Linked DNA regions of Drosophila melanogaster. The protein of the gene in region 1 interacts with the protein of each later gene in a pairwise test. Each region holds a gene or a part of one and is shown in the gene's direction. Other genes may lie near its edges.

Region 1 (5,076 bases):
AACACGGCGAGAAAACAGGGGGCCACTTCTCCTGCTATGGAATAATAATTTATTTATGTATCTACCCAAGAACCGATGGACTGTTGATGTATCGTTTATATTATTTAATAATGCCGAATAAATTATTAAAAACAAAAACTAGCAATGCTATATTCCATTGGCCATCACACTTTCTCCAAGTGCAAGGTTAAGGTGACAGGGGCGATAGGTTGCCGCCGGAACAAACGACTTACTTGTGTCGTCGTATCTAAGGAGTTTTCATGTGGGGAGAACTAGTGGGAGTTGGGTGAGAGAGCGCGGGCGAGCCAGAAAGAGAGAGAGAGAGTGGGCAGAGTGCACAGTGGAGCAATGCGGTGAAACCGAAATAGAACCGTGAGTCAGATTAATTAATTCGCTGTGCACTTGGTAACTTATTGATGGGACCGCAAGGATTGACAAATGAAGGATGGCTGGCTCATTACTAATTGATAAATGATCGAAAGCTTGGATTTTCTTTTCTTTAAATTGATGGGGATTAAGGTAAATGGTTTACATAATTACTTTATTGCCGTCGTAAAAATGAGAAATAGGATATACGGAATCCTTAAAATATTACAGGAAGGGATAAAATCGTAATTGTTCTTTTTTTTTACGAGCGACCAAACGATCGTTAATTGTGGTTAACCCTAGAAAACCTCTTAGGGGTTGCTACGAGTGAGGACTCAATACTTAATCTAGCCCAACCAAATTTTGCTACACAGTTAACTTTGGTTAATCATGAGTTCATTAATGTTTTTATGTTTTAAAGGACCTAAATATGCAATAGATATCAGGTATGAATTATAAATTCATTTGCATATGTTTGTGCATACATTTTTATTTTTTTGTATTCATCAGCACCGAAGTTCAAAATTGTTCTCTGTGTATGGGTATTTGTCTACCAACCAATTAGTGGCTACTGTCTACCTGGCCTGCGACCTTTGAACTTGCTGTGTGGCCGGCAAGTGGCAACAGTTGGTCGGCCATAGAGCGGCTCTATAAAGATCTATTTTCCCCTTACTCTCTGTCTCTCTCTCTCTCTCTGTCTGTTTGTAGCTCTCTCTTTTTTCCCATAAGATGATTTCTGAACGCAGATAATTATTCTTATTCTTATTATATTTTTGTATTAATTTGAGCCAATAATTTTGCCTTTTTCCAAAATTAGTTAAGCATAATAATTTCTATTATATTTCTTATTAATTTAGAAACGTGTTCAGCTCAAAGCTAAACAAAAACATGTCAAAAGAAACGGAATTTTTGTTCAGTGCAATAAGATCTCTGAGCGGATCTATTCAACAGTCCAAGTTCTACGTCGTCATCATGATGGTGTAAACACATTTGCCAAATCACATCACAGCCCACTGTTGAGCCGGTCTTGTGAGAGTGCGATAGAGAGGGGTCGCCCAGGCCAAGACAGAGAGACAGAGAAAGAGACAGGTGGAGAGAGAGGGAAGGCTATTGCCCGGCAACTGCTAATTGGGATGGCTAAATGCTGCATTGCATCCTCTGCCGCGATTCCTGCTGCACTTACGGTGCATCGTCGTCTATCCTGGCGCTGCCCACGCACGAAGAGAGAAGTTCACACTCTTCCCGCCTTCCGCCGGCGGTACAGAGCAAAAAAAAATTTTATTAATTTCGGTTAATTACAAATTTGTACCAGGGACTTAAGCTAACGAATTTCAGAACCGAAACATTCATAAGCTTATGCTTAACAACGTAATTATATAAAATAAATAAAATTGGGAATTTGCTAGCATGCCAAGCATGTGATGTGTAATGTGATCCTTGGTCAAGAGATTTACATTCTCTCTTGCTTGCCCAATGCAAATTTCTCTCAGTGTACGGGCCAGCTCTCTCCGACCATCTCGCTCTCGTTCCGCCGTTTTGCTTTGCCAGTGACTTTGCTTTGCTTTGGCGTAGAGAATGCTATAAAGCAGACCGCAGCAGTGGAATAGCAGCAAGTCGACTGCTGGCCGCGTAACAGTAAACACACCAACGAGCGGACGTACACGGAGCGAAAGAAGAAGTTGGCTACCACGAAAGAGTTATTGTTTGTTAGAAACACCAAGCGCAGCAGCAGCAGCAGCAGTACAAATATTATTGTGTGCCGTCCGAAGAGAACAGCTGAGCCACACGCTGTTTTTTAACGCTGTTCCGTTCTGCGGCACTTGCTGTTTGTTATCCGTATCCGTCGTGTTTCGTCGTCGTATTTGAACTCTCTTTTTGTTACTGTGCATATATTTTTGAAATCTCTGTGCTGCACACAGCGCAGGGGGAAAAGTGCTAGAATTAGCAGATCATCAAGACATCTGGCTAACCTGTGATTTCCAACACACCCGAAGGCAAATTGGCAACAAGTTACCACCGTAAGTCTCGTGTCGATCAACAAGTGAAGATGTTAGTTAAGTGTGGCAAAAGAACTGAACAAGAATTTATTGCATTTGCAAATATACATATGTACTATACCGATAGGAACGCGTTTTAAGAAAGTAATCATGCTTTTAATTTACGTGATGTGTGACTGTTATTTGTGATTCAATATAAGAAGATTAAGAAGATTAATAAGATTTTGTGAAATTTTCAAACTATGCCCAAGACAAATGTAGCCCACTGTTTTGGGGGTAGGGGATTTTCAGAAGCTTTGCTTTTGAGCATAAACCGTAATTAGAAGGCATTAAAAACGTGTGATTTGGAAATTCGTGAATTAAACCTTATAGGATTTCTCTCTCTCTCTCTCTCTGTGAGAGAGTGTGAGAACCCAAATTGAGTTTAAGAATTAGCTGAAGTTTCCATAATAACCACTGGCCAAGTGATTAGTTCACATGGTGGGTGGAATCCGTCTAGTCCAAACCATAATCCCCTGCCCAGTCTGATCTGATCCCGGAACCAAATTGAGTTTTGCCAAAGGTTTCAGCATTTTTCATGTGCATTTTTTTTTCATCTAACCATCGACGGGGAGCAGAAAATGTTTACCAAATTGAATTACACATTTTTATGATGTGCTGGTGCCTTGCTCTTCCCCCTTCCTCAAAGCCACCGCCACCCCGCCGCCTGACAGGCCTCAGGTGCTGTCCTGAATCTGGAAATCCGTGTGTCCGGGTGCCGAAGCCGGAATGGAAGGAGTCCACGTTTTCGAGAGCGGGAATGCATTTATGGCGCCGCCATTAGGGTGGACCAGTAAATTAGGTTAATTGTAGAAAGTAATCGAAAGCTTTAACAGCACCAAATTGCATATTCTGAATCAAGGAGACTGTATTTTTCCCACACTGCAAGTCACATTTCAATATGTAAGTGCTGCATTGAATATGTACATGTTCAACTTATAAATGTGTATTCTATATATATATATATATAGGCACATAATCTATAATCTGTTTTGTAATCACTACTGCTTTTTGCAACTTTATGGTAAAAAATACTTTGTAAATCCTTTGGTGTGCACCAAAATGAGCATGAATGCATAAGCAAACATAAGCGCTTAATTATGAAAACATACCGATTTAACTAGAGTCCTGGATTATAATTGACCGATTATTTGATTAAAAGGCATCCGAGGCATTCAAGAGCAACCAAATATTGTTGGCCGTTGATAACCATTGCTGGTTGCCAAGGTTTCCATAGTATTTGCAATCGGCTCAGAAGTGAAATGCTCTGTCTGAAATTCCGACTTAACTCCCCACCAGATAACCTGTTGCATTTCGCAATGGGGTAAACAATGGAATCACCTGTGCGCCCCCACATTTTGGCCTTCATATGGAAGCACATTCGTGCGCATTCATCTGGAAAATTGATGGTAAATTTCGCATTTAGTTTGATTCTCAATTGAATCAACAGTTCTAAGCCTACTGCTTACGTGTTTGTGCGATGATGATGATGATGTATAATGGTCTATCCACCTTTCGCAAATTTGCAATGGACAAGGAGGCGGTGCAAAGGTCTGTACATAAGTCCAGAATCTCAAGGGGTGATAAGCCTAAAAAAAAGGCAGACTGTTATATGTCAGATACTCGTAGATAGTTAGAGGGGTTTTTCAATGAAAAACTTAGAAGTGTTATTTTGCCTTCTGACACTTCACAATGAATATTCAGAAAAAAAAAAATGGGGAATTAACAAAGCAATATGATTATGATATGATATTATATCAATAGTTTTATTTATCAACATTCAGGTGTGCACTAATTTCTTGCCGCCAAAAACAAAGCCAATCAATAATTTATGTAGATAAGCATTTTGCTTATAACCATGCATTTTCATTATTGAATTGTCATTTTTTATCTTAGTTGAACCCAACTCCGCCTCCTCCGCGTAGATCGTGTGTCAGCCACTTGTCTTGTTTGACAGCACACCCAAGTGGCATTAGCATTTGGGGACTGAAACTGGAACCATTGGCCAGTTTGCCCAAGAGAATTTCTGGGATTGGTTTTGGGTTTCTCCAGTGCACCGCAGTGCACTCCTCTCGGGCCACCACTTCAGTTCACGGAAGGCACCACTTGGTGGGAGTCGGCTTGAAGTACGTGAGTTTATTTGGCTGAGCACAAAAATCAGAGACTCGAACAACACACAAGATCGAAAACAAAAAACAAAATTAAACAAAAAATATAATAAAATAAAAGAAGTGAAGTGAAGAGCAGGGTCGAGAGGAGAGGAGGGGAGAAGTGCCTAGAAATGGTCTGAAATGTGCATTAAACGCTTTGCATAGGAAAGCGACATGGACATGGTATGGGGATTGCGCCGGAGATTGACATTCCCATTCCCATTCCCGTTCGTATTCCTATTCCATTGGGCTACCCACTCCTATTTCCATTTCCCATTCCCTAACCCAAATCCCTACTATACCATTTTCACTTCGAGAATCGCAGAGAACACACAAAACACACATGTGAGAATGTGCCGGGTGTTGGGATTATTTTGTGGCCGGGTGAGGGGCCTTCAGGCCTTCAGGCCTTCGGGCAATAACAATCATTCGAAATGCGCCTTAAAATAGCAAACACCAAACACGTTGCTCATAATCTCCGATGCAATTGAGTGCTGGCAGCCAGCACATGAATGATAACTTTG
Region 2 (4,956 bases), on another chromosome or scaffold:
TTGGAAAATTTGTCAATTATTAGTACTTCTATTGTCAACTACAAGTCCTATGACTCTTCTTGCTTCTTTATTATTTATGAACTCATTGCAAGCATTGCAAAATGTTCTCTATGGTTTGGTTGTTGGAAACACCTCATCAAATACTATATACCCCCCTGATCGCTTTAATCTCAGCGGGCAATGCGAACAGCTGATTTCATATTTGCTCTCGCAAATTTGTAAAAATAAATACGGCTGACCAATAATAAATGCGACGAGACAACCCCCCTCGATGCCGCCAACCCGCAAAAAACCCCTACCTTTCCAACACCCATGCCGAATTAGCAAAGTTCCCTGCCTTCCGAAAAGATGGAGATCTACATTCGTGTGCGAACCGCATAGAACCGCCCGAAACCAGAGCGGCAGTGCGAGCGGGACGGCAATGGACCAGAGGCGGTCAGTTTGGACGGTCTGGTGGTCTGGGTCTTTGGGACTCGGCGACTGGGCCGCGGACATCTGACGTCGTTGTCGACCATGCTCCGGCTACGGTATTATATCATGTGGCCAAGACGTTGGTGTGGTTTTTGGTTGCGGTAGTATTGGTGTTGGTGATACGGACGGACGGACGGAGTCCCGTATTTGTTCAAAGTACTGCATTGGGGCTTTATCTTAATGCGATAGAATGAGAGTCGGATTCGTGACACGTTACGGAAACATTTCAACTGGCGTTCTATCTGCTCTGCTGAGGGCCGCACGTCGTCTGGCGGTAAACAAAAAATCCAGCGCACTATGATTTAGCGTTGTCCGTTCGACGGTTTTATTGCCAAAAGTTTGAGAATTTATTTTGACTAGTTTTTTTTGAGCTGTTTCCTTGTATAACACAATTGCTTTCAAAAATGTTTACGTGTTTTATGGCTTTTATTTTGGGGGGAAATAGAAACGAGTAAGAATTTTAATTCTTATGTAAGGTTTATTATTTTAGCTGTTTTTCAAACATTGATGCCTTTCGTCAGTTGAGGAATTTTAAAGCTAATGTTCATGGATAATGAAATCGGCCAGCTCTGGTGATAGCTTCTACCCTTTTTTTTTTCTTATCTATTCTGCTTACTCGGTGACTGTCCTCCCGCATTGATAAGAGTGGGAATAGTTGTTTTCTCGACACATCCGCAATACGAAATTCTAGAAGTAATAATAGATCTCGGGCCAATTGTTATCAGCTTTTATGCGGACGTCATGCGGTGAAGCAAATGGAATGCTATTTTTCTTCGATCGTCAAATAATTGGTCGTAATTACTCGCAGACTCTGTCACTTGGTGATTTTTGTTGAATCATTGCTCGATTGCAATTTGTTTGATACTGTTCCTTAAGTGCTTCTATAGGCTGAGAGAAAAGTGAATAAAAGTAGCGTACTTTCAGGCCCATACGAGCACAAGTACATTGTAATTCCGTCAATTTGGGAAATTCCTATTGAACTGTAAGATAAGGTTTCCAAGAGCAAATATTGATTAATAACTCAATTTATGGTTTTAAAATTTTTTTTAAGTTTCTAGCTAATTTAGTAGCTTGAAGTCAGACCTAGCTTCTGCATTTTGTTTTAAATAAAACAGGTGATTTCAAATTCCTAAAGATTCCTGTATAATGAAAAAATGTCGTTTAAACTCGATTTATTTTTCGCCATTTTGTACAGTACTCGTAATCGGTCTGGTCAAGATAACGGCCGAACTATTTAGATAAGCTGACAAGTGTATGTCAAACTGAACCCAAATCACTGTGCGTCGACGTCGCTGCCGCAGCGAAGGCGGCTACTCTCGTCCGTTGGTCATGTGTGCGATTCAGTCTGCTCGCTGAATTCGCCGCGTTCGCTCTGTTCGCTCTGTTCTGTTTGCCTCGTTTTGGCCCGTCCGTTTGCCAAATTTCGTTTGCTTTTTGTGTTCCCGTTGTGCAAGAACAGCCAAACAGAAACAACAACTACACTAGTACAAGTACGTGCAGCAACAACAATGGCCATTGGCTAAAAAGCAGCTAGAAATTGTTGCGCTCCTTGTGTAAAACATAATTATTTGCTCTCAGTCTCAAGAATCCCTCACTCTCTTTCTCTTGCTTTCACTCTATCTCCCTCTCTTTTGCTCGTTGGCTAGCCAGAAAAATAGTATTTTCGTCGTCAACGTGCCATAATTTCTTTTTTCTGCTTAGCCAGCAAAAAAATAGAACTTTTGGACTGGGAAAAGTTAGATGTGCGTTTGTGTGAGTGCGTGTGAAAAAAGAACTGCAAAAGTTAACGTTAAATTAGCGGGCTAAAAGAAAAACCCAACCACCCGCCGCCCCACTTATGTGAACAGCACGTGCTTAGCTGCAGTGAAAATAAAACAAAAAAAAATTAAATGTGACATTTGAAAAATTATACATTTAGCTGAATGTTGAATGTTGTTCGTTCGGCTTTCGTTTTGATTTTGATCTTTTCGATTTGTTTTTGTATCCTTGATTCCGCTCCTCTCCACAATCTCTTCTTAATTTGAATATTGATGTATAATTTTAAAAAGTTTTCTCTCACTCGTCTTTCCTTTTGCCTTTGTTGTTGGAAAAAAGCATACAAATAAAACCGAACGAAAAACACAACAAAAAGAATACGGGGAAGCGCACGAAAAGTTTGCCTTCATACGAAAATAAATGCAAAATGAGAAATTTTCTTAAATATTTTTATTTGCGAATATAGCTTCATGAATTAAGAACAAAATAGGAAAGCTGGAAGAGCCAAAAAATAGAAAAATTCGCACTCAAGCAAAACACCAAACGGAAGATCCAAAGCAAACAACCAACCAACAACATCAACAGCATCAACTAATATCAAATTAAATAACTAAGCCTAATAACGTATACATTTAAAGATCTATTTATAAATTAATATTTACCATAATGATTTAGTAAGTTAAGCTTAAAGTACAAAAAAAAAAAAATAAGAAAAGCAAAGAAAAAGAAACACCACAACCAACAACAACATCAACAACCAACCAACCAACAGCCACAAATAATTAATCAATCATTAAACGGAGTAAATTCACAAATCTGTAATAAATGCAAATGACAAGGAAATAACGAAAACGACAACAACAACAAGTCACCGCCAACAACAACAACCACACATCGGCAGCATAATTAACAACAACCAACAACAACAACGGATCAATACCAAAGATGGAGGCAAAATTCTTGGCTAGCGCTCTTTCATTCCTCTCGATATTTTTAGCGATTTATGCTCAATCACTTGGTGAGTACAGCCCCCCGAAAAAACCCCTCTAAATCTAAAAGAATGAACCCCCTACAATAAGCATAATGATAAACAAAGAAGGCCCTTTTAACCTATAAGTTGTACCCCGCCCATAAAATCACCCTGCCCCAACCACACACCCACCCATACACACATATAATATTAACACACCTATGTACGTAGCAGCCCAGTATAAAGGAATACAAAAAATATACATACATATGTATATGGGGGAAAGTATGGTTAAACTGCAGCTGTGATAGCAGAAATTGCAAAACAGAACACAACCGAACCGAACAAAGCAAAACAAAGAGGTGGAGCAAGAGGAGGAAGGGAATAAATAAAAAACAGCAGATTGTTTGTGGCTTACTGTAACACCCACTAACCTTATCCCACGCCCCCTAATTGCCCCGCCACCCAAAACAAAAGTGCACCCACCAAAGGGCGAGGGTGTTCGTCCACCCACCACCTGACTTTTACCCCTTCCAAGTTCACCCTAAAGCCAGACCCTAGCCGCAATAATGGAAACAAACAGTATTAATACGAGGCGACTTAAATCAATGGTAAAGTTATCGGAGAAATGTATCGATAATTCTTCAAATTAGGGGATCTCAGAAAGGGGCACTTTGCTGGTCCTTTAGCCACAAGACACAAATGGGTTTTACCAGCGATATTCGAAAATATTAATATATTTGAGTCCGCGCTTTTAAAAATGAAACTTTTATTTCGTTCACGTTCTCGTCTTTGAATAGAACCACAAAATGGACAATCACATTTCTTTTTTGCCCGGCTTTATGTATTCTCTTTTCATATTGCACGGGACACCATCCACCCACCAGCCACCCACGAGCCACCCACCATCCATTTTCCAACTTTGGACAAGGTCTCTGTGCTGCATTCTACTGTTTTGCCCTCTAGTTAAGCGGACTTCGATATTTTCGTGTTGCTTTTATAGTTCATATTGTTGGGTCGGTTGGATGGACTTGGGATTGGATTGCAGTGCTGCCATATTGACATTGTTGCTTATGTTTTTTCCCCCTGCCGTTTTCGTCGTAGGTTTTCCGTCGCTTTTCCACTGTTCGCGCGACCGCATTTCATTTGATTTTCAATTTTCCACACAATTGCTGAAAGAGAACAGCGGCGAATGTCGGAAAAAAAAAGCAGAGGAGCAGAAGCAGAAGCAGACGCAAAAGCAGAGTATCAAGTTCATTTCGGTTCTAGTGAGGGCTATCTTTAAGAATTTTTGTTTAGCCTTAAGAAGACTATTTTACATGCGGTCCAATAATTACGGCCTGTCTCTGGTTTTCCCCGCTTGTTTATATTAACTTTAGCCGACCCAAAGCGAAGCGGACCAGAACGAATCGATTTACCGATTAACCGATACGTGCCCGATACGTACCCGATACGAACCGGCAACGGTGGCCTGCATTTTGTTTACATATGGAACTGGGCAGCCCCGCCTCGCACCTTCCACCTTCCTTGGGGATTTGTCTATGATGCCCGCGCGGGCGGTTCCATCTATTTATTATTCTATGCATACTATCCATTTACCTATTCTACTTTATTCCATACATCCATCTATCTACATATCTATCCGTCCGTCCGTCTGAATATCTGAATGTCCGTCTGGCTCTGGCTCACTACCAAAACCTACGTATGTTCATGAATTTTGATTTTTTTTTTCGCTAAACTGAACGTTTGGCTGGTTTTGT

Evidence for each region.
Region 2: the proteins of out (region 1) and Bsg interact in a two-hybrid assay, tested with the Drosophila melanogaster proteins (one large-scale study listed by BioGRID).

Annotation. Positions count from the first base shown.
Region 1 is NC_004354.4:19,318,964-19,324,039, reverse strand, and holds the start of out (outsiders), read left to right. Parts: upstream 1-1,933; 5' UTR 1,934-2,384; intron 2,385-5,076.
Region 2 is NT_033779.5:8,086,493-8,091,448, forward strand, and holds the start of Bsg (basigin), read left to right. Parts: upstream 1-1,811; 5' UTR 1,812-2,024; intron 2,025-2,117; exon of another isoform or gene 2,118-2,213; intron 2,214-2,610; exon of another isoform or gene 2,611-2,901; 5' UTR 2,902-3,171; coding exon 3,172-3,244; intron 3,245-4,956.